4 linked regions of the Notamacropus eugenii genome follow. The protein of the gene in region 3 interacts with the protein of the main gene of each other region in a pairwise test. Links are inferred from orthologs where the notes say so. Each region holds a gene or a part of one and is shown on either strand. Other genes may lie near its edges.

Region 1 (7,168 bases), about 310 Mb from region 3:
ACTATTCCATATCTTGTGAGATCTTCTGTGGTCTTTTGGCTTTGGTTTTGCGTTTTCAGAGTAGCTTTCTCAATTTGCTTCCATTGACATTCAAGAAGATATTCCTACCTCAATGAAAGTTGAGCTCTTCTTAGCATAGATACCACAGTCCTCCATGTCTATTAGCATTTGCCTCACCTCAACTCACTATGGTGACACCAGCCAAGATTCAATACCAGTCATGAGTGGATAAAGCTCAGAGCTATGTATTACCTTTTTCTGGTTACTGCAGACTAATCTTATCCTCTTTCTTAGATACTACCATACTTCTCTGAATTATTCTCTGTAATTGAGAATGTACTTTGACTCTAAAGTCAGGAGGTTTATTTTCTTTATGCTGATCAATAGAACATGTAAATGTAGCATATGCTTCCTGAAGAGTTTCACCACCGCCATATTGCATCTCTAGGTTTTGGATACATATTAGTCATGTGATTTTAAGCAATCTAGTCTTTAGGACCTGTACAGAGCAAAGAACTATTACAGGAAGGAGCTTGTAGTCCCCTGGACCTCAGTGGCCTTTTCAGTAGCAGGGGCTACCTTTATTAGATCTATGGGCATATATTACTCTCTCTCTGCTTAAAAGTTCTCTTATTTGTGGAAACTTGCACTTGACTAAAATGAAGTCAACGTCTCTTCCTCCTTTCACACCTCCACTGAAGTGAATATGGAATGTATCTCCTGCCCTTTAAAGACATCTAAATCTCTTGCCTAATCTGATGTGCACCTGCATTAATTTTATTAGGATTTAGTAGCCATTGTCTTTTCTTTAATGTGAAAGAGAAATTGATAGGTAGGTACATAGATAGAGATAGCACATTTATAAGGGGCTGACCATGTGCCCACTGTGCTAAAACCATTGGAGATACAGAAACAAGCAAGCAAAATAATCGCTGCCTTCCTTACATTCCAATTGAGGAAGATACTAATGAGGGCTGGAGAGATAGAGATATAGGAATTCCAAAACTGTAGTTGCCTGTGTGGGCCATTTGGAAAAAAATTCCCAAACTCAAGCATTATTAAGGTCAAGGTGGTAAAGATTTATTACACTTTTCAGCGGGCAAGAGTTCTTAGGGAACCTGCAACCTTGGAGGGGTATAGGTAAAGTTTATATAGGATATTCTATAGTAAAACATGTGCCAAATATGCTAACTAGGTGATTCAGGGCAGAATTAAGGAGTGATTAAGGAGTGGTTAGTTCTTAAAAGGAACATGCACTTTTGGTATCTACTGCACAGGTATTTTACCCAGAGTTCTTTGGGAACTAGCCCAAGGAGGGAGTTTTAGGCCTGAAATGCCACTAAGTCAACTAACAGACAGGACTGACTAAGTAATAAAAGGCTGCTCTCATCAATGTCTTGTTAGACAAGATAAATGTGAAGGAGTATACGTATGTCTAAATCTAGGATAATGGTGAGTAGTAAATGTCATTATGACCCAGTACACAGCCGATTCAAACTAATAAATTCTACAGCTGGCTACTGCAGCAGGAAGGGAGACAGCCATTTTTGCTGGAGCAGGCTGTTGTTGGGCTGGGAGGCTAAGGAGAAATTTGATTTTTAAAGAGAAATGTGATTTTAGAATTGGGGTCCAAGCACATGTACCCAAGCACCCCATCAATACCTTAAAGGGGAGCTGTAAAGCATGAAGAGGTGGGGTAAAGAAACATAGTGAGGCATGTGAATGTTCAGAAGTAGAGATGAAACCTAGCTCCAGGAAATATAAGGTGAAAGGTCATCAATTAGAAGCCAGGGTGATTCCAGGGAGGAAGTGAGGTTGATGAAAGGAGTAATGAAGGGGGTAGGGGGAGAGAGAAGAGAGGGAATGATGCATTGACTTGGGTTGTTAGCTACAGAGGCAGAATCAGCTTTTCCTCACAGGAAGGGAAAAGATAAACTTAGATGAATTTGGCAATTAATGGGAAACTGATCTCTCACCTGGAAAAAGAAAGAATAGGGAGCTATCCCTTGTGATGCTTGGCATCACCAACTGTTAACTCTCAGCTCTTGGGAATTTATAATTGCAATCACGTTATATAGCAATATCCACCCATCAAAGTGTCAAAAGATGGGAGTGGAGGGGTAGGAAAGGGAGGAAGACAGCAGGCAACAGGACATTAGCCACTTTGCTCAATTCTGCCCACCCACATCATAGAAGATAAAAAACAAACTCTTCTTCCAGCTTTTTTTCCCCAAAATTCTATAACATATAAAGTCCTATAAAGCCAAGTTCAAAAAACCTCAGCAGTTGGTGAACTCTTGGGGAACATCTGCTTGAGTCTCTTGTCTCTGTAGCAGGGATAACTGGGCTAGGTGTCCATGACCCCAGGGCTACGTTCAATACTACAAAAAGTGCTGCTATGAATATTTTGGCATCTATGGGATCCCTCTTTCTGTCATTGACTTCCCTGAGCTATACACCTAACAAAGAGATCTCTAGGTTAAGGGGCATGCTGATTTTCATCACTTTTTTAAAAGCATAATCAATAAATCAAATATTCATTAAGTGGTTACTAAGTACCAGATGCAGTGCTAAGGGCTAAGGTTAAAAAAGACAAAAGTGAAACAGTTCCTGTTCTCAAAAAGTTTGCATTCTAAACACTGTATTCTATACCAACAGAAAGGTTGGACCAATTCAAGGCTCTGTATGTATTAGAACACCTCTCTTTCCACAGTCCCTCAGTTTCAGTGTTTCATAGAGACAGTTTCCTTCCCAACTTGTGAAGAGTTTGGGGAGGTCTTCCATATGTTTGAATTGGACAGGGTTATGCTGACCTGAAAACTACCAAATAACAATTTTGAGTACCTAGTTGGTAAAGTGGATAAAATGTTGGCCCTGGAGTCAGGAGGACCTGAGTTCAAATCCTGCCTTAGACACTAGCTGTTTGCCCCGGGGCAAGTCACTTAACCCTGTTTGCCTCAGTTTCCTCCTCTGTAAAATGAGCTGGAAAAGGAAATGGCAAATCACTGTCATTGCCAAGAAAACCCCAAATGGAGTCATAAAGAGCAAACAAACAAAAACCAACAACACAAAAACCAAAAAACCATGATTGAACAAAAACAAAATGCTGAACAGGGATGCTGAAACTGGTCTCCAAAGGGGACTTTAAAGATCTGAGCAGGACCATTAGTGGAGATGTTGACATTCTCCCTCCACTCCCCAGATCAAGAGGACTCTTAGGATGGGTGCTAAAAGGCTAGAGGAGGGAGGCACCCAGACAGCTAAAAAGTCCTGTGTAAAATTGCCAAAAGGTTTAAATTTCCTCTCCTCAACTCTGTCTCCTTGTGCTAGCTATGCTAAGAGGCACTGTAAAAAATAGAGATACGTAATAAATACTGCCATTCTTTTAAAATTTCTTCCTTATTCTGATTTCCTTTCTCTTTACTTAAGGCCTGTGCTCCATCATTAAAGCTCTGTATTGCACTGTCTGTATATTGGTGTATAAAGGAGTATAAAGGAGAGGACTAGCAGCCACCTGAATACATTTTTTAAATAAATCAAAGATTCTTTGATGACACATAGATTTTTATAAACGGAACTTCTTTGGTCTGGTGACCAGAGCCGCCTCTCTTGGTGAACTTCAGGCTTTTTATTAACAATCTGTATTTTAAAAGCGAACTTCCCAAAGACGAGTGTAAACTGGATCAAGACTGGTTTTGCTTCTGCTAGTCAGCGCCTGCAGCAGACGGGTTCACTAATAACTCAAGCGGCCCACCTTCAGAAGCACCTGGACCCACACCTGGGGAAAGGGGAAGGCTCCGCCCCCCAGCCGAGCCCCCAGGGCGGAGGCGGAGACAAAAGCGGAGATTGCCCCGCCCCTTTCTGTTGGGAGGAGGCAAGTCCTCCTCTGCCAAACTCTGGCTGCCCCCGTGACCCCCGCTGTCTACACTGATTTGTGTTAGTTCCCAAGAGATCTTGGACATAAAAACTTTATTTTACGCAATGATGTTTTTCCCTTCGAAAGAAGGCTTCCCTGCTAGAGGAAACCACTTCCTAGGAGATACACTTGTCACGCCCAGCAGTGATTTGCCCAGGAGCGAGAATTTTGTGCGCATGCTCCATCTCAGCGAGGCGGGGGTGGGGGGGTTGGGGGAGAAAGAGAGGAGGAGTGTGCGCATGCGCCGTCCTAGCTCCATCTCCGAGAGTGGGTAGGCCCGCAGCAGACGGAAGTGGGTGTGCCGGAGACGGTGGCCGAAGAGGGCCGCTCCGGAAAGGGCCGATGGAGTGAGGGCCGCAGGCCGGAGGGGGTCGCGGGTTCCCTAGGCCGGTCCCGCTCGGAGCGGCTATGATTCCTCCACAGGAGGCGTCCGTGCGGCGGCGGGAGATAGAGGACAAATTGAAGCAGGTGAGGCCGAGGCGACGGGAAGGGGAAGGACTGCTTGGGAGATGGAGGAGGGCTTGGGGGGCGCGGAGGTGGGGAGAAGGAAGGGGATGGGACCCGCGGCCGGCGGGGCGGCGGAATCGCCCCCTCTCCGGCCCACCCCACGGGGTGACTAACGCCGCCCTCCTCTATCATCCATCCGTCCATCCCCCAGGAGGAGGAGACGCTCTCCTTCATCCGAGACAGCCTGGAGAAGAGCGACCAGCTCACCAAGAACATGGTGAGTGTGGGGCACGGCCCCCGACCCTGCCCTGTCACCCGGCAGGCCTTTATGGAGCGCCTCCTCGGTGCTCGGCGCGTCGCTAACCGCGGGGGACGCAGACAGGCCGGAGGCAGTGCCTGCCCTTCTACGACCCAACGGGAGACCCGTCGTGCAGACAAACACAGATAGGAGAAAGTAGAGTGTGCGTGATTGCAGAGAACCTGGTGGGTGTTGTGTGGCCGCAGTTTCCCCGTCGGTAACCCGAGGGGGTCGGACTCATTGATCCCTAAGGCCCTTGTCGGTTTTGGCTCTCTGTGCTCCGGATGATTGTATCCTTCTCCGATTCTGTGATGTTCCCCTCATGTTCGGTTCTGTGGGCCACGGGCTGATTGCAGGGTTTTCGGTCTACCCAGCTCTGCCCCCGCTGCCTCTCTTGAGTTAGGACCCAGAAGCTGGTTACTCTTCTTATGTCATGTTTGCCTTACTAGTTCCTTGTCAGGTACCCCAAATAAATACTGATTGGGCATCCACCTGCATGTTACACTGTGTACAGGCTCTGTGGAATATAGAAGAGGTGGTTTCTAAGCTTATTTTCTGAAAAGGAGATTAGATGAGCACAAAGGAGTAGATTTAACTGTGATCGTGTACAGGTACATTAAGCACCAGGATGGTAATAAAGGTACAATATGTATGGAAAGCAATAACTATGTGCCTTTATACTTCCAAATTTCAGTTTAGACATTTATTAAGCACTCATTGTGTACAAGGCACTCTGTTAGGTAGTGGAGATACAAAAACAAAGAGAAACTGCCTTCCTTCAAGAAGCCACCAAGTGGCTGTAAGAAATGAGCCACATGTATAACCTTAAAAAAAAATGATAGAAATGATAAATATGTGTAGATAAGATAATTTGAAGAGACTATGTGCTAACAATTGGGGAAGTGAAAAGAAGCTTCATAGAGGGAAAAGGCACTGAGTGGATCCTTGAGGGAAGATAAGAATTTTGAAAGGCAGAATTGAATAGGAAGTATATACTAGATATGGAGTATAGTTTGTGCAAATGCATGGAGACAAAATATGGAATACCTAATTAAGATAGGTAATGCACTTAGTAAGCACTTGCTGTGTACAGAAACAGTGTAGCATGCTAAGAATGCAAATGTGTGAAGGGGAATAATATGAATTGAAGTTACAAAGTTAGGTAAGAGATAGACTATGGAAAATTTTAAATTTTAGAAAATTGTACTTTATTTTAGAGACAGTAGGGAGCCACTGAAGATATTTGAGCTGGGGAAGGACATAGATGTACCTGTTCTTTAGAAGGATTATTTTGGCAACTCTGTTGAAGGATTGGAGATGAGAGACTAGAAGTTAGGAAACCGGTTAGGAAGTTATTACAATAATAGTTCTAGCAAATGATGAGAGCCTGAACTGGGGTGAAAGTGTGAATGGAAAGAAGATTCCACATTTTGAAGGTGGAATCAACAGGACTAGGCAACTGATTGAAGTTTGTGGGGAAGAGAGAGAGGGAAAAGTTTAGGATAACTCCAAAGGTCCATACTTGGGTGACTAGGATGAGGGCAGAGAAACCAAAATAGAGACATTACTTTCATCAGTGTGAGTAATCTCTCCACCTGTGCACATCAAAACTTCTACATCCCCTCGTGCGGTTTCGTGAGTTGCTGGGGCCAAAAAACTTCATCTTCTAATAACCAAACATTTGGTGGTGAGTTTCTTTGAACTTAACTAGACTGGTTCTCAGATGACATTTTGTCACCGATTCAGTGTCTCAGTGTGGAACCTACCAGAGTTTGCTTTTCTTTCTAACAGACTTCACGATTCCCACTACAACATGATGAGGCACTGAAGCAGAGCTTTTGTGAAGGAATATCTGTGTGCATGTAGTTATTTATAATAGCCATACACATATATAACAAGAGGCAGTGGAATTTGATGGATAGAAAACTGGTCTTGAAACTGAGAAGACCTGTCATACATTGCAAGTCACTCAACCTGTCAGTGTTCTAGACCATCACTTCTTAAATTGTGGGTCACAACAGTGGGGCTTTGAAAATGTTGGCAACAGTAAACAGCGAAACAATCAAAAACTAATTAAAAATCAACCAAGTAATGAATGCCAGGTGTTTTCTGGCAGTACTTGCCCATGTTGCTTCTTGCAGCTTCACTTCAGCCTTGGTTCTGAACACAAAGCATGCACAGGTTACACTGTACATGCTCTCAGGCCATACACCAAGGAACACTGCCAAAACATGAAAAGGGGTCCCAAGTGGAAAAAGTTTGAGAAGCCCTATTCTAAATAACTCTCTATGAAGCCCTATTCTAGACAACTCTCTAAGTTGCAGAAAAGATGCTGATCTGTATTGGTAGAGGGAGTTCCCACACCTTGATCTTCCCCTTGCCTGCCACTTATAGTATAAATGTTTATTGACTGACTGACTTGACTTATTCTTGTGTACATACAGACAGACATATATATTTCATGTAGATAGAAGCAAAGAGTAGGTTTTGAAAGATTGTCAGGACAT
Region 2 (7,661 bases), on a different chromosome or scaffold from region 3:
GAAGTTAGTATGTCTTTCCATGGATTCTTTGTAGGAGAGGCATTTTCATTTTAAGGGTCATCTGTGTCACCCACAAGGAGCCCTTGCCAATTTATGCACACAGATCCAGAGGATATGCTCTGTCTGATCACCCCTCACCTACTAAAAGGGAATTGCTTTACCTCCCTGGCTAGCACGCGCACACACACACACACACACACACACACACACACACACACACACACACACAGCTGTTTGCTTCTAGGGTTGCAGAGTAGGGCAGACAGTCTTTGAGGAAGACTATTACCTATCTGTCAGGCTCATTTTACCCGTACTTTAAAAAAATTTTTTTCTGTTTTCAGGAGTAATGGCCCTGCCTCCAGTTATGTGGCCCCACATTATCCAGACAGGGCTACTCCATCTTCGTTTCTCTTCTTATTCCTGGTACCTACCTTCTCCTCCAAGTCCACTCAGGTAACTGCCGGCACTGGACCCTGAGAGATTGGGACGGGCTAGATGAGGCCGAGGGTGGGGAGTGGTAGTACCTAGGGCTGGGGTTGGCCCCTCACTACAGTCCTCACCCCCGAAACCCTGGCAGCACCGCCATTCCATGTCCGTCACTGTTTTATAGGCTACTCTGTATCGAGGGCGGAGGAAGCTACGATACCTAAGGGAGAGATAAGGTGGGATAGAAGTAAGCGTTGGACATAACATAGACTTTCCTGTACCATTAGTCATCTTTTTCTGTGAGTGTGCTTAGCTTTTTGAGGAGAGCTGATTCAGCTTTACACAGCTTTTGTACGTAGGAGCACCTAGCACAGATTTTTGCTCAGTAAATGTGCTACTGATGACTTTCTCTTTTTGTCTTAAAAACCAGGCTTGTGAGGAAGTCCGGCATAGTCTCCAGGTGATTCCTGGATCCCTGCAAGAGAGCCCACATGAGCTTGCCCACATTTTTTCCTCCTGTGCCCTGCTTCAGTCCCAGATCTGGGCTCCCAAAACAGAAAGCAGCACAAGGGGGCAGCAAGACGTCCCTGAGTGGGTTCTCAGCTCAATCTCTCTAGTCTATATTTCTAGCTCACCACTGACTCTAAATGGCTCTAACCTCCACTTCCAGGCTCAGTCCCATATCGCTTCTTTGGCCTCCAGTCAAATTCCCTGGTTTTGCCATCTTGATCTGGTCTCCCACCCCCACCCAGTCTCCATTTTCCTGGCCCAGGCAACTCACGTGATAGTTCGGGGACACTGGGGCTGGCCCCAGCCACAGGCCTGGTAGTCGGGTTTGACAAAGGTCTCCACCCCGTCTTCCAGTACACAGCTCACTGTCCGAGTGACCACGTAGGCACACCAGTTCCTGCAGGCATAACCATCAAGGCCTGAGCCTTGAAACAAGGACCCCAGGAAGAAGGCAGGGGATGGAGCTGCACAGAGGCAGGGCCGTCCATTGGGCTCTCTCCCCGTACCTCCTGGATCAGTAGGGGGTCGTAGAATAACTTTTTAGAATGGGGAAGCACAGAATAGGAAAAATGAGTGCCTCCTGACATCCAGAGAATACTCTTTAGGAGCCTGGAGGAGGCCAGGTATACATCCATTTGCTTATGTATAGATGTGTCTATCCATAGTTGTTGCCATGAGTCTGGGAACTTGTGTGTCTGCATATGCTCATGGGCATAGAATTCTAAATGGAACCATTTAATTTTAGAGCTTTGAATGTTTGTCACCTCGTGATATCTATGAATACCAAGTATGTACATATGTTTATATCTGTATGTTTCTCTATGTGAGTTTGTTTACGTGAGTGAGATCTATCCTGCCGGATGTTGCCCTAAGACCTTCAGGGGAAAAGAGTTAGGGCTTTTCCCTTTCTCTGCTGGTCACAGCCCAGGACTGATAAGGATAATGGAGGCATTCACTAGTAGTTACTCACCACTCCCTTCCCACTCTGCCCCTCCAACACCACACACACACACACACACACACACACACACACACACACACACACACACACACACACACACACACACCAAAAAAACATTTCCAGTTTTCAGTATATCTATATAGGGCTCCCCATCTATATAGGGCCTCTGATCTGTGACAGGATCAAGTGAGGGTCAGAAGGGCAAAGGGTAGCAAGGAGAATAGGGTCAGTAACACATTAAGGGGAGAGGCAGGGGCAGCCAGGGAGGTAAAAGGAACAAAAGGGTAGAAATGAATGCAGGGGCTGTTCTTTCAAGTCCTGGCCTCCCTGCCCTACTATGCGCAGTGAGTAGTCTTTTTCAGAGTATGTATAGCCCCTGTTGCCCAGGGACTATGGGTGGGCTAGGGGAACCAGAGGCTAGAGAGTGAAGCAAAGTAGGGCCTGATGTGGTCTCAGAGCAGGGAACCCTTGGTAGGGAGCTAAGGAGCCATCACCTCTGGGTTACCTTTAACCAGTTCAGTCAGGTTTATTTCTAATGTGAAATTTTTAAATATATTTTTCCCAATTATATCTGCATTACATGTATATTACAATTTACATGTAAAAACAATTTTTAACATTTGTTTTTTGAGTTCCAAATTCTCTTCCTGTTTCCCCTCCCTTTTTTAAGAAGGAAGTAATTTGATATAGATTATACATATGCAGTCATGCAAATCATCAGGTTTATTTCTAAACCCAAAACTCCATAAACCTGGCAGGCTAGGCCTAGGTGAAGGTCAATGAATGCATGGAGTGGCCTGGATATGTAATTTTTGTTCCACCCCTCACCCCACCCAAGTCTCAGTTTCATTCCTCTGGGGAAAAGGTGGTAGAGGTGGTAGGAAAGTTTCAGGGAAAGTACTTGAGGAGTGGATGGGGCTGGGGGTCAACGCTCTTACCTGTGGCGACTAGCTGGGCGGTGGACACTCTGAGCCTGTGGCCCCCCAGGAGTGAGGGGCCGGGCCCCAGTGTAGAGGCTGTAGCCCCGAGATGGGTAGCTTGCAGCCCAGGCTGCCCCAGCCAGCAAGCAGCAGAGGCAACAGCTCCAGAGTGAGGTGGGGGCCATGCTGGGGGAGGCTCCACTCTGTGCCCGGCCTCAGCTGCACATCCCAGCCCAGCTGGCTGCTTCTGCCTCAGTCCCAGGGGGATCCTGACGCTCCTCAGAAGGAGAGAGAACCCCTATCCCCCCTTCCCCAGCTTCCTGCCTGCCAGAGCCTCACGCCCCCTCTATCCTGATCCTTCCCCCCTCCTCTTTCTGTCCCTCCCTCTCTTCTTTCCGCTCTCCTTTCCTCTTCAGAAGGGAGTCTGTTCTTTTAGCACCTAGTCCTCCAGTTCTTCTTTACCTATTTGGATCTGTCTCCTCAAGCCCCTCTCCCTGGCCCCCTCACAGCCCTCTCCTTGATCCCCACTCTTCTGGATTTCCTTGCTACCTTCTTTGCCCCATTCCTTGCTCACTGGTTCCTCTAGGATGATGAGGCTGTGCCCCTGTGGCGGCTCTGAGTGAGGGTGGCTGTGTGGGGCGGGCCCTGGCCTTCTGCTTCTCTCCCTCCCCTCCCCCCAGTCTGGCTGGAGGTCCAGCCTACCAACCCCCCCACCCCCCTTCCAGCAGCTCCACATCTGCTTCTTGTTAACGCCGGGAAGGAGAAAAAAAAGGGGGGGGGTGAAACAGAAATGTGGAGTTGCCGCCGGGCAGGGGGCCAGCCGCTCAGACAGGGCCATATGGAGCCAGGGCCAGAGCTGGGGCGGGAGAAACCTGGGGCCGGCCACTCATATAGGGAGTCCGAGCAGCAGAGACAACAGCAAGACCAAGAGTTAATCTGGGGATTGACTCTGGGATTGGGGTGGTTGGGGCTGGGGGAGGCATACCTGGGAGAGGTGGGGGAGGGTCTGGAGAACTTGTGTCTTGGCCAGGACATAGAAGAGAAAGAGGGAATCTGGAGAGAAGAGGCTAGCTAGCTCCTGTGGATGATTTGGGGCACTTAAGCCTCTCAGCCTCAGTTCAATTCAGTGCAATTTACTTAAGTGCCTACTATGTGCAAGGCACCGTGCTAGGTGCTAGGGGTAGAAAAACAAGATGAAAAATGGCTGCTATCCTCACAGAGTTTGTGTTCTAGTTTGAAAACACATAAACATGCATACTTTATGTATACGTGTATGTATGTGCACACATATCATTTCAAGAAGAGAGGGAAAGAACTAGCAAGGGCATCAGGAAAGACTTTTCAAAGGAGATGCCATATGAGCTGGGTTTTGAAGGAAGCCAGAGATTCTAAGAGGGAGGCAGGAGTATGCTGGTAAATGTTTAATCACCAGCTCTCAAAAAATTTACCACACATTTTTACACTTAATCTGCATCATTCACATTTTCTCTGTCACTTTCACTTTCTCAAGCCTAGACTACCAACAAAACAATAAATCAAGCTCTGAGTTGTCGCAATTTCTGCGATGAAAAGCTCACACTGAAAATTTTACAATCAGCTTTCCAAAGACAGTTTGAGTTGGGAAGTGAGGAAGGCACACATTTAGGAATCAGGGATGGGTGGAACAGGCCAGTTTCCCAATGGAAAGAGATTAGAGGCTGGACTGAATAAATTCAGTTCTTAAGATTCTATGTTTCTATGACATTTAGAGAGCAGAGAAGGTGATTTGGGGTGGAAAGGTGATTGAATTCAGATCAAGTATGAGATGATGGTAAGCATCCACATAAAACTGTCCAACCGGAATTTGGAGGTGTGGAAACGAACCTGGAGAGACAAGGTGGATGAAGTGGGAGATTTGGTTGGAAGCAGATGATGCCAAATATCTCAGAATATCTTGGAATACCTTCACAGTAGGTTGTAGAACACCTTGATAGTAGGTTTTTGAATATCCTCACAGTAAGTTATGGGATACCCTATAGATTGGACTGTGGAATATCATCAGTGTAGGTTTGTTGGAGACTCTCACTGAAAGTTGAAGACATCCTTACAGTAGGATGAGGGACAGAACCCCTCATAAAAGGCAGACAGGATGAGTAATGAATTTCAAGTACCAGGGCATTGGGAGCAGCTGGTGGAGGATGTAAGCATTGATGGAGATAATATACAAATCAGATGAATGGAGTTGGGAGGTTGGAAGAAGCAATAGTAGCAGCCTTACCTGAAACTGTTTGAGAGTCATGGAGGATGAGGATAGAAGGTGGGGTTGAAAGGTCATAGTGGCAGTTGGTCAGATGGAGGAGAGTGCTGAGGTTCCAATGGCAGTTGGCTAAGGAGGGGTCCCTGAGCTACATGAAAGGTGGGGTATAGAGAGAGTAGTACCAGGTCTCTTCCATTTGCGTGTATACACTTGGAGTCTTTGACAGGAAAAGGCTCACATCACAATGCAAAGAGCCACTAGAGTATGGTAATAGCCACAATCAAATTCTCAGTGAAAGAATGACATTTTTCAAGTAAATTAAATAAATTTTGTGCCACTAAAATGTTTTTTCTTTTGTATCTTCTTATCAGAAGCAAATTTTAAAAAAAGATTTTCTCTTAAATATTAATGTAAGTACATTTACTAAAAATCATCAAGAAACTTACAGATCATAGAATAAATGTCTAATCAAATCCTCAGCCAAATTTAACCACTTATATCTTGATCAAATAGAAAAACCAACTCAAATGAAATTAGTATACCAAATAATTTAAGAAAATAAGTTCTTAATAAAGATACACGAGCTAAAAATCTTCTGATTTTGTGTACGTTTTTTCTTTGGTTTTGTTGATATATACACATATGTAAAAGTGGAAATGAGGCAGGTAGGTGCAAAATAGGTAGATCTCAGGGCCTGGAGTCAGGAAGACTAATATTTCTGAGTTTCCATCTCACTACAGACACTAGCTGTGTGACCTTGAGCAAGTCACTTAACCCTGTTTGCTTCAGTTTCCTCATCCGTAAAATGAGCTGGAGAAGGAAATGACAAATCATTCTAATATTTTTACCAAGAAAACTCCGAATGAGGTCACAAAGAGTTGGACATAACTGAACAACAAAAGTGGCAAAGGGTGCCTTGGGAACTAAAGGATTCCCTCTAGTTGGAGGTCTTCAAGCAGAGGTTGAATGAACACTTGTTGGATATGTTATGGTGGGGATTCCTTTTTGAGTATGGATCAGACCAGATGACTACTGAAGTTTCAACTATAAAATTCTGAGTTACATGCAAGGTGTCCCATAAGTCAGTACAGTTTTAAGCTTTAATAACTTCAGAAGTATAACTGCTTAAAAACTTACCAAAACACCTGCATTTGAAAGGCTAATCACATACACTTTAAAAAAATATTGTTGTTTCTATTAAAATTCAGCATCATCGCTATCTTTTGCTATACCTTACTGTAGTTGATTTCTGAAATTTGCAAAACTTTTATTACTGCTCAGTGACCAAAAGGATTTCTAGGCTTAAGATAATCCAAGGAGTGCAGTTTTGATGCCTAGAAACAGTTTTGATATGACCTCACAAAAAAAAAAAACTCTAACAGAGAGAGATCAGGTGACTGAGGTAGCCTATATCAAATCTACTGGTCTGAGAAAGTATCAGTATTATGCACATATAATTCATAATAAGCAGGTACCTATCTCGTTAAAATTACAATTTTATTATTTAAAAGACACAAAACTAAGTAGGTGCAAAGGAAATTTGAACAACTAAGCTTTCAAATGATTTTTTTTAAGCATACAGAATTTCTATTTGTGAAGTTATCAAAACTTAAAACTACACTAAGACTTTTGGAGCACCAGGTGGGGAGGTTGGACTTAGCATGCATGCTCTTTTGACTCTCCTGTCTTCACTTTGCACATGGTAGGGATATAGGTATCAATGGGTAATCCAGGCCATACTAATTGGCACTTACAGATTTACCAGGAAGCAAGTAGAAAATAGACAAAGGAGAGTTTTATGATGAACTGCTCTTTTCTCAGATGCCCCTGATAATGGGGAAGAAAGATATACAGTTTGAATGAGACTTATTAGGGCCATGCCAGCCCAGGTGGCAATCCAACTTGAGTAGGATTTCATAGCAAGAATCTTCATGCAGTGGGGACCACATTCTTTATTTTCATTCCTTTCAACTCTTCTCTTTCCCCATGTGCAGCAGGTAGCACAAGTGTTAGGGCAAATAATAATGACATAGTAATAATTATATCCTCCATTTACATACTACATCTTTAATACTTATTTGTGATCATATGACAGTGCTCCAATGTGATCTCATTGGCTTGGCTTTTCAATAATCCAGATCATCCCCTACTTCCACCCCATCCCAAACCCCTTTGGCCCTGGTTTCATGTCTCCCCATAATTCACCAAAGGGGGTCCACCCAACATGCTTTCTCTTGACAATTTTTATTAGTTAATTAATTTTTAGTTTTCAACATTTACTTCTATAAGCTTTTGAGTTTTAAATTTCTCCTCCCTCCTCCCCAAGAATGCATGCAGTCTGATATAGGCTCTACATATACATTCATATTAAATACATTTTTACATTAGTCATGTTGTAAGAATTAGGACCAATAGGAGGAACCATGAGAAAGAAGAAACAAAACAAAACACCAAAAATAGAGCAGATAGTATGCTTCAATTTGCATTCAGACTCCATAGTTCTATTGATGTGGATAGCATTTTCCATTGTGAGTCTTTTGGAGTTGTCTTAGATCCTTGTATTGCTGAGAAGAGCTAAGTCTACGAGTCAGTCATCACACACTGGCAG
Region 3 (7,133 bases):
AAAGATCTAGAAATTGAGGAGGCACCTCTCAGTTGGGGAATGCCTAAACAAATAATAAATGAATTTTATTATGCTGCAAGAAATTAGGAAAATGTTAGTTTTGGGAAAGAATTTATGAACTGATGCAGAGTAAAGTGAGACGAACCTAGAGAACTGATAGTATAACAATATTGTAAAGATAACTTTGAAAAACCTAACTCTGATCAATACTATGACCAACAATAATTTTAAAAGGTTGATGATTAGGTATGTATGATACCCACTTTTTGATAAAGAGATTTATTCAAGAAGCTGAATAATGCTCAGTGGACGACTGGTGAACTTGGGTTCAGTAAGACCTGGGGCCTCAGCATCCCTAAAGAGAATCATGGCTAGAATGCAGATCATGGCAAGTTGTAACTAGCTGCACTGCAACATCATAAGGTGTTGCTGGCCTTAGAGCAGGTGCGAGCCAAAGGGGAAGGACTTGTTGATGTATTTCCCCGACCATCCAGAAGTGTGAGTGTTCTGATGCCAGATGACTGCTACCAGACACTCCATCAAATTATCCTAGCTTGAGGTGAGTATCCCCTAAAAAAGATACAGCCCCCTTTGCTCTTCAGCTGGGCTCACCAAGTCACCTTCAGATTTGGGTATCTGGTCTACACCCAAGAAACAGTGCCCTATGCAGACAAGCAGCACAGATTCTCCCATTACAAATTAATAAGTTTGCATTAGCTGGGTTGCTGCAAGCGAAGCTTCCCTAGGACTCGGTCATTGGGGAACAGCTAACTTTTCCAGCTGCCTTCTCTTGACATGGGCTCAGCTCTAGGAACATCTTGCCTCCCCCAGGAAAGCTCCTCCCCTGAAATCTTATCATCTTGCTCACACCTCCTCAGCACTCTCAGGTGCCTCTCTCCTCAGACTGGAGGGAGGGCTGGAGGACAGAGCAATGAACTCCTCCCCAAGGCCTCCCTTCTTTTGGTTAACTTCCTCAGCTACTTTGTTGGTTTCAACTCCTCAAGCATTGTGCCCCCAGGCCAGGTCACCTGGAGGGGGCTCCCCCCATCAGACTACAAGCTCCTTGAGGGCAGGAATTTCTTTGGATCCCCAGCACTTGGCACAGCGCCAAGCACATAGTGTTGATTTTTTTCATTCTTCATTTTCAAAGACCAAGAACAACTCAGGTGATGTCTTGACTTGCCTGTGAATTGGATTTAAATGAAACAGTCCTGCAAGGTTGCCAGCCTCACTCTTCCAAAGTCATCCAATTGAGGACAACTGGCAATGGCCAGGCTGCAATACATGACCGAGCCCTCCACGGCACCTACTTCGGTCACTGTTGTGGCTGTTGGAACAAACTGTTCTCATCCCCCCGTTCTGCTGGGGAAATCTTCACACACCTGGGGTAGACAGCCCCCTAACTCAGCCAAGGGTTCGAGGCCTGTGGGTCACATCGGCCAAAATGGTTCCTGAGGTACGCCGTGGGGCGTGATAGTTTCTTGGAGCCACAGGTGATAGGTAAACAACAAAGGTGAATGAGCAGCCCTGAAAAGGGCTCAGCAAGGCCTCACACCAGAGGAGCTGGTCCTCCCTGAACATCCCATACAGCCCCAGGCACACAGTTGTGGTTAAATGGTTCTTCACTGTGCTCCACTCTTCGCGGCTCCATCTGGGGTTTTCTTGGTGTATCATTTCCTTCTCCAGCTCATTTTACAGATGAGGAAACTGAGGCAAACAGGGTGAAGTGACTTACCCTGGGTCACACAGCTAGTAAGTGACTGGGGCTGGATTTGAATTCAGGGAGATGAGTCTTCCTGACTTCAGACTTAGAGCTCCACCCCCTGCACCTCTTGGCTGCCCTGAGGCAGGTACACAGTGTTGACTATTAATTGGCTAAAATGAAATTTCTGAAACCGAAAAGGTGAAGACCAGATTCCGGCCAGGCTGTCTCACCTTAAGTGGCCCCAGGTCACGCGTGCCGGGTCCCTAACAACTTTTTTACCATCGACACAAGACACAAAAATGGAAGAGAAAAGAATGGCCAGGCCCCTCCAGCACCCTTTTATGGGGTGCAGGTGCCACTTGCTTTTCTGGAGGGGGGCAATGGGCTAGTTAGTGTCTGGGCCGGATTTGAACCTAAGTCTTCCGGCCTCCATCCTCTGCACCACCAGCTGCCCCCAGAACAAGGGACTGGGAAGTTCGAAGCCCCGAAGGCCAGGGCAGCCCCACCCCAACAGCCACAAAGGGACCCCAGCCCCGAAGCCACCTCCTCCGCCCTCGGACTTGGCGGGTGGGCCCCCGCCGGGCCAAATCCCGTCCCACGTGGGGTCCCGGGCGCGGTGCCGAGCGCCACACTCAGTGATGACGGGCGTGGGCCACAGGGCAGGCAGCCCCCTGGAAACATTCGTGGAACCGGGGCGACCGACTTCTTCCAGGCCCTCTACCGGGGGTTCCCCGAGAGCCTCCCGGGGAAACTGAGGCACCCGCCCGCGCCTCCGAGGCGAGGCCAATAGTCGCGCGAGCCGTGCCGCCACCCACCTGAAGCCGGGGCCCGCCGCGATGCGGGGCGGGCGCGGGAGACGGCGGCCCCGCACTCCGGTTAGCAGCTAAATCCGCCGCCCGGAGCCGCCCGCCCCGGCGCTGCCACGGCTACAGCTCCTGTTTACCGTACACGTCACTTCCCGCGCCGCGAACTCGCCGCCGGAAATGGTTCCACCTCCCTCTTCGAAATGCCTGCTGGGAAGCTGAGTCTGAGGAGCGAAGGTTAGACTGCAAGGAAAGCCCACACCTCCCCTACTCCTTTGCGCCGAGGGAGGAGCCGGAAGTCGCTTTCCCTCTTTCCCGGGGATAAGACGGCTGCCAGGAGGCGTGGGCAGGAGAAAAACATCCCCCCGAGACACGTGCCTTCCCTCGCTTTGCATTCTGGGAGTTGTAGTCGTGGGCCCTCCCCGGCAGGCGTGGGAGCCGGGCTCGGGGTGGAGCCTGAGGAGGATATGAGCTCACTACCAGAGCCTGGGGCGGGGGTCGGGGTCAGGGTCGGGGCGTTTTTCTTTGGGGCTGCGGGAGCCGGAGCTGGGGTCCAGGCCGGACAGAGCCCTAGGAAGACGCTCCGGGGACGAAGGTAAGAGAAGGGCCGCGTCCGCCCCAGGAGGGCGGGGAGGTGGGGAGGCGCGTCCCGTGCCCCGCGCCCCGGACCAGAGGCCGTGAGTGTGCCCCCTCGCCGTCCTCTGAGACCCGGCCCGAAGGAGGAGGGGAGATGGGAGGAGGAGGAGGAGGAAGGGTAGGTGGGAGGAGAAGGGCGAGAGGAGGGAGGGGGAGAAAACAGGGGAAGAAGGCAGAGCGGGTAGCAGAGGAAGAGCCGGAAAGGGAGCGCAATAGACATTCTTGGGGGGCAGGGTGACCCCGGGGTGAGCCTCGCTTTGCCTCCCTTCCCGGGCCACGTCTTCCGCCCCGTCGGTTCCCTAGTCCGCGGGGCTTCGTTGGCCGAGGCCCGGACCCACCCCCAAGCCTCTAGACCTCCCCCCAGTCCGGAAGGAAGAGCGCTCAGGGGCTCGATGGAAACTTCTTTTTCCCCCGAGTCAGTTTCAGGGCGTTCCCTGTGGGCGGAGCCCGGGAGCCCATTGGTTCAGAGGGAAATGTAATCTGACCTCGCTTGGTCCAGGGCGGCCCGGCTCCTGGCCCCGAAGCCATCCCTGCGGCAGGGGGCCACGGCCTCAGGGCTGGGAGAAGCCCTTCGCGTTGTTGTTCTTGGCTTGCTCCGGAAGGCTTAGCAGCTTAGAAAAGCTGAAAGGAAAATACCCTTTAGGTTAGGAGACAGAGCCTGTGTTTCCTTCCTCCGCTTGCTTCTCTAGCCAGAATGGCCGAGTGAGCAGGGGCCACTTCTAGTCCGACGTGTACTTCAGTAATGCCCACTGAGTGGTCCTCCTTCCCTTTTTGCACAGAGCTCCTTAAGGCTTCCTGGGGCAGCCCACTCCACTTCGGCCCCATCTCGTTAAGAACCTTCTCCTCCTGTGTTTCTCTACAATCTCCACCCATTGTCCCAGCCTCCGCCCTCTGGGGTCCCCTATCAGATACTTGTAGATAGTTCTCATTCTCTCCCTCCACCTGGCTAAGTTTTATCCAGGCTCATTATCCCTGGTTCCTTAATCCTGGGTCTCCACCAGTTTATCCAAGGTCTTTTTTCTTAAATCGTAGCACCCCAAATTGAACACAGCATTCCAGAAGTGGTCTGCCTGGAGCAGAATCCATCAGGAGTCTCACCTCACCTCATGCAGCCCAAGACCCTATTCATTTCTTCCCAAATATCTGCCAGTGTTACATGTAGCACACTGTTAATGGCAAAGCATTAAACCTTAGAGATCTTTACCCACCACACTACTCTCCAGTCTGTTTAGCTGCTGCTGTGCGACCTTGAGCCTAAGTCACTCCTTTCCTGGTTTTGTCCTCTGCACAGTGAGGAGCTGGCCTGGGTGAATGGTCTCTTTTAGCTCCATCCCTCAGAAACCATAATGGGCTTCCTTATCCTTAGCTTATGGACTTGTTTTGGGTCCAGATGTAAGACTATCTTTATCACGGTTAAATTCCTTCTTATTGGGTATGGCCCAACATTCTACGCTGCACAGATCTTTCTAGACTCTGTCACTATCCAGAAATGTGGTCAGTACCTTTCAGTCACCCCTAAAAATGGTAAACAGCATAGGGCCAGATACAGGTCCCTGGGGTACTTGATTAAACCAAGGCCACCTTCCTTTAGTGCCTCTTCTTTAGATGGAGTCATTCAGCATCTTCCCTCTATCTGGTCCATAAGAGCAGCAGGAGACCTTGTCAGATCTTTGCTAAAATCTCCGTTCTCCTAGAGTGCTATCTATGGCAGCCCTCACTTGTCTACTAATACATTTTCCCATTTTCCTTTGCCATTCAGTCAGATCCTTTTAGCTGTAGTTTCTCCTCCAAAGTCATTATCTAATGAATACCTACAATGTGCAGACACTGTGAGGGATCCAGAATTAGGGTGTAATTCTTGCCCTAAGGGATCTTACAGCCTGGTTGGGGAGACAAGCCTGGTATGTCTGTTCTGTTCCAAGGGTAGAACACCTTAGGGTGCACCTTGCTAATTGTTTTTTGAACCAAACTTGTGATTTCATAATTGTAGGAAAATTCCTTTATAAAAGCACATCGGTGAAATTTATTGTTTTAAAGAGTTGCATAAGATCCTTGAGAAGTTAAGCGACTGGCTCAGAGTTATTCAGGACTCAAACCCCAGCCTTCCTAACTTTCAGGACAGCCCGCCCTATAACTCTAGCCTGCTACCTTGAAAAGTAGGTGGAAGGAAAATCAGTCTCTAATGCATGAGGTGCAGTCTGTCTCCCTTTCTACTTCCCCAGGCCCACTAGCATCTAGAATTCCGTGTTACAATGAATCCCCAGTGTTTGGGGTTCATCTTGTGGTTTTCCTGGATCATGAAGTATTTCTGGGATCTTCTTCCACCCCTTAGAAAATAGGAAAGGACTGGGAACCCCTGCCCTTGTGCTCAGGAAGACAAGCCAGCAGGTGGCCTTCTGGTCATTTCTCTAGACATAGAAAAACTGCAAGGATTGGCATGAATTCTGTGCCAAGCAGAGAGAATCAAGAACCCAGCAGCCTGAGGCCAGGGGTAGCAGTTCACTAGAATGCTCTAGGTTTTTGTGACACTCTTCTCTCTTCTGGTTTTCCCCCCCACTTCTCTGACCGCACCTTCTCAGGCTCCTTTTTACTGGATCCTCTTCCAGATCACTCCTGAACATTCCCTGGGGTTCCTCCTGGGCCCTCTTCTTCCTTCAGACTATATTGCATTTGATCTTACCAGCTTTCACGAATTTAATTATTTCTGTGTTGATGATTCTCACATCAGCTTATCCAGCCTGGCAGTTGAAGATGCTCCAGCCTTGGCTTCCTTGTAGCTTGTTCCAGTCTTTTCTCTCAAGTCATGTGTTTTTCATCCCTTCCTGAAACCCCAAGTGGTATCTCTCAGTTCCTTCCCACATGGTTGTAACAAGGGATTGGTTTTCTTGCTTTCTTGATGTTGGGAGGGAAGGAAGAGAGAGAATACAGACCAGAATTGACTTTTAAAAGTTACTTCATAAAAAAAGAAGGAAGGAAGGAAATATGAGAAGGGAAGGGAAACCAACTTCCTCCCTTTCTATTTAAATGGACAGTTTAAGTGCCTTTCATCTGAATCCTGGAGAAGTCTTGTATTGCGTAAATTCCCAGTTAACTTGGCTGCAGTGTTGGGACCTTGTTGAACCTTTGGGAATAGTATACACCTAGGTGGGACGGGCATCCCGTTTGTTATTTATAATACACCTTACATGTTATTATAGTAATGCCATTTTTGTGATCCCTGCGAACCTCTCTGTCTGGTCTTCAGGGGTCCTCAGCTTACTCCTCTCTCTTGTTTGGGCCCTGGCCTGTATCTCTGAGGGCTGCCAAGCCATTTGCATGGGGACCTGGAGGGAGAAGAGGAACAGGGTGTGGCCAGACTGTGGCGGTCCTTTTAACTCTAAGTTCACAGTCCTCCTGACTTCTGTTGTTCTCTCTTCCCTTCTGCCTTCAGTCCTGAGATTATGAGGCTCTGGCCTCCACCAACTGCTTGCCTGTGACTTCCTCCACCACAGTGGAACGCCCTAGGCCCACCTCCTGCCGTGTGGTCATCTACCTGCAGCGGGAGATGTCCGGAGATACCTGCCTGGCTGGCCTGTGCCCAGCCTCAGGATCTAAGCCCAAGCCAGGGGGCTTTAAGGGTGGTGGGATGGGCAACAAATACATCCAGCTCAATGTTGGAGGCTCCCTGTACTACACCACGGTGCGGGTGCTCACCCGGCATGACACCATGCTCAAGGCCATGTTCAGCGGGCGCATGGAGGTGCTGACTGACAAGGAGGGTAAGGACCCAAGGCCAGAAAAATAAGAGTGGTAACGGCAGGAAGCACTTGGACTGGTGGGTCCCAGGGCAGACCTTGCATGAGAGATGTGGGGCTTTTCCCTTTCATAGACTAGTGGAGCTGAGTGGGACGTCAGTGGTAGTTTGGGCTATCCCTTCTGTTACAGGTAAGTGAGGGCCCAGAAATGAGTGACTTCCCACACCCATTCCTACAGCCCTTTGTAGAGATCAT
Region 4 (7,965 bases), on a different chromosome or scaffold from region 3:
GTCAGAACAAATGAGTACTGGCCCTGATGCCAGAATCACTTTTCCAACAAAAAAATTCACCCTCATTTCTCTGCCACTCTAAGAACAAACACCAAACAACCTACCTCTTCACAAACCGTAGAAAAGCGGTTGAGGAATTGTACAGTATGAACCACAAACTGGTTTAGAAATGCAACAGTCCTTTTCTGTTGAATTGCTGGCACCTGCATTAAGTAAAAACACAACATAATTAACATACAAACACAAAATAATTCGAGCAGGAGAAAGGGCTTCTAGGCTCAAAACGGTTCAGTACTTTGTGTGAGATTCAGAGCACTGCCAGGAACACTCATTTTGGAGTCAGAGGGCCTGGGTTCCAGTTTGGGCTTTGCAACTCACTACCTGTGTCATTTTGGGCCAGGAACTACCCCTCTTGGGGTCTCAGTTTCCTTATGTATAAAATGAGGAGGCTGGAACAGATTACTTCTTAGATCCTTTCCTACAAATCCTAGGAGAGCTATCTTTAAGCACTAAAGGGTTAATAAAGGGAAAAAGAATTCTCCTTTCTTGGCCTAGCTTATGGAACCAAACTAGGCGCAAAGAGTAAAGACAGATCTTGGATCAATACAAGATGCTCCCTAACAATTAAAGACAGTTCAGAGCCAGGAAGCATCTCATCCAAGGGCACAAAGAAATGAAAAGGCCAGACTTTGAGCCCTGAACCCAGGATTTCTTCCACTACACCATGCAGCTCTATGGCAAAGTCTGAAGTTGACCGAGAGACACAAGATTCAGAGTACGGAGAATCTGCATTGAAAAAAAAAATATTTTTTTTTAATGAGAAAATTAAAATGGATTATGAGGTGAGACAGGTCTAAGTAGTGAATACTTATCTCTGCAACCTGCAGAAATGGGGAATTCTGGGAAAGAATTACTCTTCTAGGAGCCATTCAAAGATAGACAGGATGACCTCTTTTTATAACCCATTCAGGAGTTTGATTATTTGTAATTTAAGGTGTTGGCTTGGGATCAATGACACTTGGTGACATTTTAGTGCCCAGAAAAGATCCTCAATTTGGAATTAAGAGGATCTGGGTTTCAATCAATCAATAAACATTTATTAAGTACCTATTATGTGCCAGGCTATGCTAAGTAATGGGGTTACAAAAGGAGGCAAAAGTCAGTCGCTGTCCTCCAGGAATTTATAAACTAAAGCGGGGAACAAAAACATGCAGAGCAAGTTACCTACAGGATAAATAGGAATGAAGAGGAATAATAAATAATGGTGCCTGGTAGAAAAACCTAGAATGAAAGAGGGAGAACGTTCCTGGAATGGGGAACAGCCAAAGAAAATGTCTGGAGGGGAGAGGTGGAGGGTCTTGTTTGAGCCTGGAGGCTTAGTTCTGTGGTTGCGTAAGCTTGGGTTAGTCACTTTTCCGGACTCAGTTTCCACCTATGTTAAAGGAGAGGGTTGAATTAAACATCAGAATTAATGAAAAACAATCAGAAAAAATGGCCAAGGAACACAATCTTCTCAAACACCTAGGCTTTAAGCAGGAAGGACCACGCCACTTAGCAACCAACTAACAAGTAAAGAAAATCCTCCAGCGTATTCAGTGCCTCCCTCCAGGCCTGTCCCAAGCTCTGGGGCCATGTCTGGGAGGCTGGCCGGTGGAACCCAGCTGTGTGCCTCCCACTGACCAGGGAATAAAACAAAACAGCTTCTTGCGTTCTGAAGGAGGAGAAGGGCAGAGGAAGGAAGGGTGTGGTTCCACCACCACCATGTGGCCCAAGTGGTCGCTGGTCCCTGGCAGGACACAGACCTGGAGTCCAAGGGCCTGGATGCGCATCTCCTCTGTCTGTGACCTCAGGCGTGCCACTAAACACTGCACAGAAGGGAGGCACGGGCCAGCTGTGCTCCTCTGCCTTTCAGTCTAGGAGCTGTGACTCCTGGTCACACAAGGAGCACAGGGCGGGGGTCAGAAGGCCAGCTCGGGTGGGACGTCAGCAAGTCACTTGCGTTTTCTGTAGGATTCAGTTTTCTTATTGGACTGGATGGCCCCCTCTAAGGTTCCTTCTGGATGACAGATGGGGAAACCGAGGCACAGAAAGATTCTCAGGATCGTGGATCTAGAGCCGGGCCCTCGGAGCCTGACCCCCTCATTTTACAGATGGGGAAACCGAGGCACAGAAAAATTCTCAGGATCACGGATCTAGAGCTGGGACCTTGGAGTCTGACCCCCCCATTTTACAGATGGGGAAACTGAGGCAGGATCCCAGGATCACGGATCTAGAGCCGGGCCCTCGGAGCCTGACCCCCTCATTTTACAGATGGGGAAACCGAGGCACAGAAAAATTCTCAGGATCACGGATCTAGAGCTGGGACCTTGGAGTCTGACCCCCCATTTTACAGATGGGGAAACTGAGGCAGGATCCCAGGATCACGGATCTAGAGCCGGGCCCTCGGAGCCTGACCCCCTCATTTTACAGATGGGGAAACCGAGGCACAGAAAAATTCTCAGGATCACGGATCTAGAGCTGGGACCTTGGAGTCTGACCCCCCATTTTACAGATGGGGAAACTGAGGCAGGATCCCAGGATCACGGATCTAGAGCCGGGCCCTCGGAGCCTGACCCCCTCATTTTACAGATGGGGCAAGGGCGATTCAGAGAGCAGAAGTGACTTGCCTACGGTCACGCGGACTCCAAGTGTTCTCTCTGGGCCTCAGTTTCCTCCTCCGTCAAGCTAGAGGAAGGGTCTCCGTGACCCCGGGAGCCCCGGAAGCGACCCTCCTCCCCTACCAACCTTGGTCAGGTCTATGCCCGACCCCATCAGAGGCAGCCCGTCCTCGTCCATGGCCCCGGCGAGCGGGCCCCAAGCCCCCTGCTTTCCCAGCCCGGACAACGGGAGCGGGTCCCGACTGGCAGCCTCAGTCTGAGGTACCACGGCCCTTTCCCCCCGGAAGTGGACTCAGCTAACAGCCGAGGTGTCTGCGCTTGCGGAGAAGACCAACTGAGCCCCGCTCGCAAGGCCCTTTGGGAGTCGTAGTTTTGTTCCAGAGCCTCCCATTGGCTCTGAGTCTGCGGAAGAAACCAACCTCCCCTGGTCCCTTCCGCACAGCCTTCTGGGAATTGTAGTTTTTCCTCTACTCTCCTACTGGGAAAGTTGATGGCGCATGCTCAAGAACAGTTCTCGGAAAGAGAGCTGCAGTCAAACTTGGATACAACTAAAGTCAGTCTCAGAGCTAGAAAGAGAGATCACGTGGCCAGGTAAGCACGTGTGAATTTAGGATCAGAGCTGAGAGGTGGCCGCAGGTGGCCAGGTGACGACGCCTGTACTTAGGGGCTTGACTCTAGAGCTGAGAAGTGACCAGGTAGCCACACTTAGTCCTGGGCTGACAGCTGGCTCCAGGTAACCATGTGACCGCACACATTTTTAGACTCAACTCCAAACCTAAGAGGTGGCCAGGTAACCACACCTGTACTTAGGGGCTTGACTCTAGAGCTGAGAAGTGACCAGGTAGCCACACCTGCATTTAGGATCATGCCTCCAGAGTAGGGAAGGAGTTCAGGTGGCCAGGTAACCACACCTGTACTTAGGGGCTTGACTCTAGAGCTGAGAAGTGACCAGGTAGCCACACCTGCATTTAGGATCATGCCTCCAGAGTAGGGAAGGAGTTCAGGTGGCCAGGTAACCACACCTGTACTTAGGGGCTTGACTCCAGAGGTGGGAGGGAGCTTAGGTAGCTAGTTTTCCATATCTCAGGTCCACTGACCATGTAGTCAGCCATACCTGTGTATAAAGTCATGGCTCCAGAGCTGAGTAACCCCAAAGGCAATCTAGTTCAAATTCCATTACATTACCATAGAGAAAACTGAGGCCCAGGGAGATTGCCTAATATATGGATTCATAGTGGACTGATATTTAATTGGAGTTAGTTATTATTCAGAGCACAGTTGATCTGTGCTCTGAATAATGGAAACTGCTGGTGCTAGATCTTTGTAGCTTTGAGAATAGAAGTGATAACTACTCTGCACGGGTTTCTGAATGCAATTAATGTGTATTGTTGTTAGTTACATCTGACTGTTTGAGCTATTTGGGGTTTTCTTGGCAAAGATACTAGGAGGTTTGCCATTTCCTTCTCACCCTCATTTTACAGGTGAGTAACTGAGGCAGACAGGGTTAAGTGATTTGACCAGGGTCACAGAGCTGGTCAGTGTCTGAGACAGGATTTGAACTCATGAGATGAGTCTTCCTGATTCCAAGCCCAGCACTCTATTCTGTGCCATCTAGCTGCCCATGTAACTAGTGTGATTGGGTGTGAAGGTGGCAAGAGACATCCCTTTTCTCTGGGATATGAAACAACATTTCAGTACTAGAAGTATCCAGAGGGCCCTTGCTTAAACTCCCCCTTGAATGAACATCAGCCTGTTCGTAGGAAAACTGGGTTCAAGGGAAAAAAGAAAGTTAAGTGGAATTATTAAGGCCATGAGCAAACTTCAGCATCTCTGATCCACAGACTGTGTGAAGCCTATTATGAAGGGTTTTTCAGAAGTACAATCCAAGGCCATGCTGGGCATAGTGACACAGAGCTAGGCTGTCTCCTTAGGGCAACTGAATGGCAAAGTGGATGGAGAAGGGGAGACCTGAGTTTTGATTCTGCCATAGCCACATTTTTGTGGTGTGATCCTGGGCAAGGCAATTACTCTCAGCCTCAGTTTCCTAATCTGTAAAATGTGAGTAATGGTGCCATTTGTTTTATAGGATTGTTGTGAGGCCTTGTAAGTTGTCATGTGCTCTCTAAAACTATAAAGACAAGAACAGCACACATGATGGTTCTTTTATCTTTTGATGAATTCAGATGACTAAACACTATAGTGATGAATATGTTCCCATCACAGTATATATGTTTTTATATGACGTGAAGTTGACACTATTGCATAGGTAGATTTCAAAGCAGTCACCAGGGAAATTGCCCAAAGCCTTTTGGTCAGTGACCAAAGGACAGCTGGAAACTGTGATTCCCGTGATTGCTTGTACCACAGTGTAAATGTATTTTTTGCCTCCCACAAAGAAGGGGTAAGATGATTGCACCACTAACCTCTCCCCTGTCTGGAGAAGACGATGTACCATTTCAGACCAGAGACTGGATCCTTTGGTAGAGCGTCTACCATCTCTACCATCTAGTTGTGATGAGTTTCTTTTTGGAAAGAACCATGAAAGATCAAACTGGTGTAGAACCAAGTGCCCCTACATACAGAGGAGGGCCTGCTATCATGTGTTCTACGGTCAGCTTTTCTAAAAGGAAAGGCAACTTTTGAGAGGTCAACAATGACTTTATTTATTTAATTTATTTTTTTTCCTTCTTTCTTTCTTTATTTATTTAACTTTTAACATTCATTTTCACAAAATTTTGGGTTCCAAATTTTCTCCCCTTTTGTCCCCTCCCCCCACCCCAAAACACCGAGCATTCTAATTGCCCGTCTGCCAATCTGCCCTCTCTTTTATCATCCCTCTCTGCCCTTGTCTCTATCCTATACCCCTTTACCTGTATTTCTTATTTCCTAGTGGCAAGAACAGTACTCGACAGTTGTTCCTAAAACTTTGAGTTCCAACTTCTCTTCCTCCCTCCCTCCCCACCCTTTCCCTTTGGAAGGCAAGCAATTCAATATAGGCCAAATCTGTGTAGTTTTGCAAATGACTTCCATAATAAGAACTAACTATATTTCCCTCCATCCTATCCTGTCCCCCATTACTTCTGTTCTCTCTTTTGATCCTGTCCCTCCCCATGAGTGTTGACCTCAAATTGCTCCCTCCTCCCCATGTCTTCCCTTCCATCATCCCCCCCACCCTGCTTATCCCCTTATCCCCCACTTTCCTGTATTGTAAGATAGGTTTTCATACCAAAATGAGTGTGCATTTTATTCCTTCCTTTAGTGGAATGTGATGAGAGTAAACTTCATGTTTTTCTCTCACCTCCCCTCTTTATCCCTCCACTAATAAGTCTTTTGCTTGCCTCTTTTATGAGAGATAATTTGCCCCATTCCGTTTCTCCCTTTCTCCTCCCAATATATTTCTCTCTCACTGCTTGATTTCATTTTTTTAAGATATGATCCCATCCTCTTCCATTCACTCTGTGCACTCTGTCTCTATGTGTGTGTGCGTGTGCGTGTGCATGTGTGTGTGTAATCCCACCCAGTACCCAGATACTGAATAGTTTCAAGAGTTACAAATATTGTCTTTCCATGTAGGAATGTAAACAGTTCAACTTTAGTAAAGTCCCTTATGACTTCTCTTTGCTATTTACTTTTTCATGCTTCTTTTCATTCTTGTGTTTGAAAGTCAAATTTTCTTTTCAACTCTGGTCTTTTCATCAAGAATGCTTGAAAGTCCTCTATTTCATTGAAAGACCAATTTTCCCCTGAAGTATTATACTCAGGTTTGCTGGGTAGGTGATTCTTGGTTTTAGTCCTAGTTCCTTTGACTTCTGGAATATCCTATTCCATGCCCTTCGATCCTTTAATGTAGAAGCTGCTAGATCTTGTGTTATCCTGATTGTATTTCCACAATACTTGAATTGTTTCTTTCTAGATGCTTGCAATATTTTCTCCTTGACCTGGGAACTCTGGAATTTGGTCACAATGTTCCTAGGAGTTTCTCTTTTTGGATCTCTTTCAGGCAGTGATCTGTGGATTCCTTGAATACTTATTTTGTCCTTTGGTTCTAGAATCTCAGGGCAGTTTTCCTTGATAATTTCATGAAAGATGATGTCTAGGCTCTTTTTTTGATCATGGCTTTCAGGTAGGCCCATAATTTTTAAATTGTCTGTCCTGGATCTCTTTTCCAGGTCAGTTGTTTTTCCAATGAGATATTTCACATTATCTTCCATTTTTTCATTCTTTTGGTTTTGTTTTGTGATTTCTTGGTTTCTCATAAAGTCATTGGCTTCCATCTGTTCCATTCTAATTTTGAAAGAACTATTTTCCTCAGTGAGCTTTTGAACCTCCTTTTCCATGTGGCTAATTCTGCTTTTGAAAGCATTCTTCTCCTCATTGGCTTTTTGAACCTCTTTTGCCAGTTGAGTTAGCCTATTTTTCAAGGTGTTATTTTCTTCAGCATTTTTTTGGGTCTCCTTTAGCAGGGTGTTTACTTGTTTTTCATGCTTTGCTTGCATGTCACTCATTTCTCTTCCCAGTTTTTCCTTCACCTCTCTAACTTGATTTTCAAAATTCTTTTTGAGCTCTTCCATGGCCTGAACCCACTGAGTGGGCTGGGATACAGAAGCTTTGACTTCTGTGTCTTTCCCTGATGGTAAGCATTGTTCTTCCTCATCAGAAAGGAAGGGAGGAAATGCCTGTTCACCAAGAAAGTAACCTTCTATAGTCTTATTTTTTTCCCCTTTTCTAGGCATTTTCCCAGCCAGTGACTTGACTTCTGAGTGTCCTCTCCACCCCCACCTCGCCTCCAGATCCGCCCAGCCAGCACTTGGGGTCTGAGATTCAAATGCTGCTTCCCAGCCTCGGTTTTGGGCGGGGGCAGGGCTGCTATTCAGTGTGAGATTAAGTTCAGGTGCTCAGGTGGGGGCAGGGCTACCTCACGGGTGCTCAGTTCCCTCAGGGGGTTTATGCAGAGACCTTCAACAATGGATCTGGACTCCTGCATGCTTGGGGAGCCCTGGTCTGCTCCGCCTCCGCTGCTGCCTTCTGAGGGGGCCTGAGTTATGGGGGCACCCCACTCCCTTCTCGACCCGCCAAAGAGACCCTCTCACCGAACCTTGTCACCTGTGGGTGGGGAACCCGCGTGGCCGCTGGAGATCCCGTCCCTGAAGCCTGCTCGGATCTGCTCCTTTCCATGCCACCGAGGCAGGGTTGGGCTCTGCTCCGGGTCCGGGGAGCGAGGGACCTTTTGCAAGAGGTTTTCAGGCTCTCTGGAGCAGAAATCTCATCTGCTCCGTTCTGTGGCTTCTGCTGCTCCAGAATTCGCTGG

What was found.
Region 1: the proteins of IFT20 (region 3) and EXOC7 interact in binary tests that used the Homo sapiens proteins (3 or more experiments, as listed by UniProt). The two-hybrid records come from large-scale screens. The link is inferred for Notamacropus eugenii from reciprocal best matches to the Homo sapiens genes IFT20 and EXOC7.
Region 2: the proteins of IFT20 (region 3) and EMILIN1 interact in binary tests that used the Homo sapiens proteins (3 or more experiments, as listed by UniProt). The two-hybrid records come from large-scale screens. The link is inferred for Notamacropus eugenii from reciprocal best matches to the Homo sapiens genes IFT20 and EMILIN1.
Region 4: the proteins of IFT20 (region 3) and WASHC3 interact in binary tests that used the Homo sapiens proteins (3 or more experiments, as listed by UniProt). The two-hybrid records come from large-scale screens. The link is inferred for Notamacropus eugenii from reciprocal best matches to the Homo sapiens genes IFT20 and WASHC3.

What each region holds. Positions count from the first base shown.
Region 1 is NC_092873.1:342,425,741-342,432,908, reverse strand, and holds the start of EXOC7 (exocyst complex component 7), read left to right. Parts: upstream 1-4,164; 5' UTR 4,165-4,324; coding exon 4,325-4,384; intron 4,385-4,574; coding exon 4,575-4,640; intron 4,641-7,168. UniProt on the Homo sapiens protein: Component of the exocyst complex involved in the docking of exocytic vesicles with fusion sites on the plasma membrane.
Region 2 is NC_092872.1:528,367,413-528,375,073, reverse strand, and holds the start of EMILIN1 (EMILIN-1), read right to left. Parts: upstream 3,003-7,661; coding exon 2,836-3,002; intron 1,743-2,835; exon of another isoform or gene 1,334-1,742; coding exon 1,208-1,333; exon of another isoform or gene 857-1,207; intron 647-856; coding exon 432-646; exon of another isoform or gene 342-431; intron 1-341. UniProt on the Homo sapiens protein: Involved in elastic and collagen fibers formation. It is required for EFEMP2 deposition into the extracellular matrix, and collagen network assembly and cross-linking via protein-lysine 6-oxidase/LOX activity.
Region 3 is NC_092873.1:35,659,455-35,666,587, forward strand, and holds the start of IFT20 (intraflagellar transport protein 20 homolog), read right to left. Parts: upstream 3,012-7,133; 5' UTR 2,521-3,011; intron 1-2,520. Other genes in the region: TNFAIP1 (BTB/POZ domain-containing adapter for CUL3-mediated RhoA degradation protein 2), read left to right, coding at 6,689-6,902. UniProt on the Homo sapiens protein: Part of intraflagellar transport (IFT) particles involved in ciliary process assembly. May play a role in the trafficking of ciliary membrane proteins from the Golgi complex to the cilium.
Region 4 is NC_092874.1:284,999,613-285,007,577, forward strand, and holds the start of WASHC3 (WASH complex subunit 3), read right to left. Parts: upstream 3,001-7,965; 5' UTR 2,836-3,000; coding exon 2,785-2,835; intron 2,206-2,784; exon of another isoform or gene 1,830-2,205; coding exon of another isoform or gene 1,803-1,829; intron 204-1,802; coding exon 105-203; intron 1-104. UniProt on the Homo sapiens protein: Acts as a component of the WASH core complex that functions as a nucleation-promoting factor (NPF) at the surface of endosomes, where it recruits and activates the Arp2/3 complex to induce actin polymerization, playing a key role in the fission of tubules that serve as transport intermediates during endosome sorting.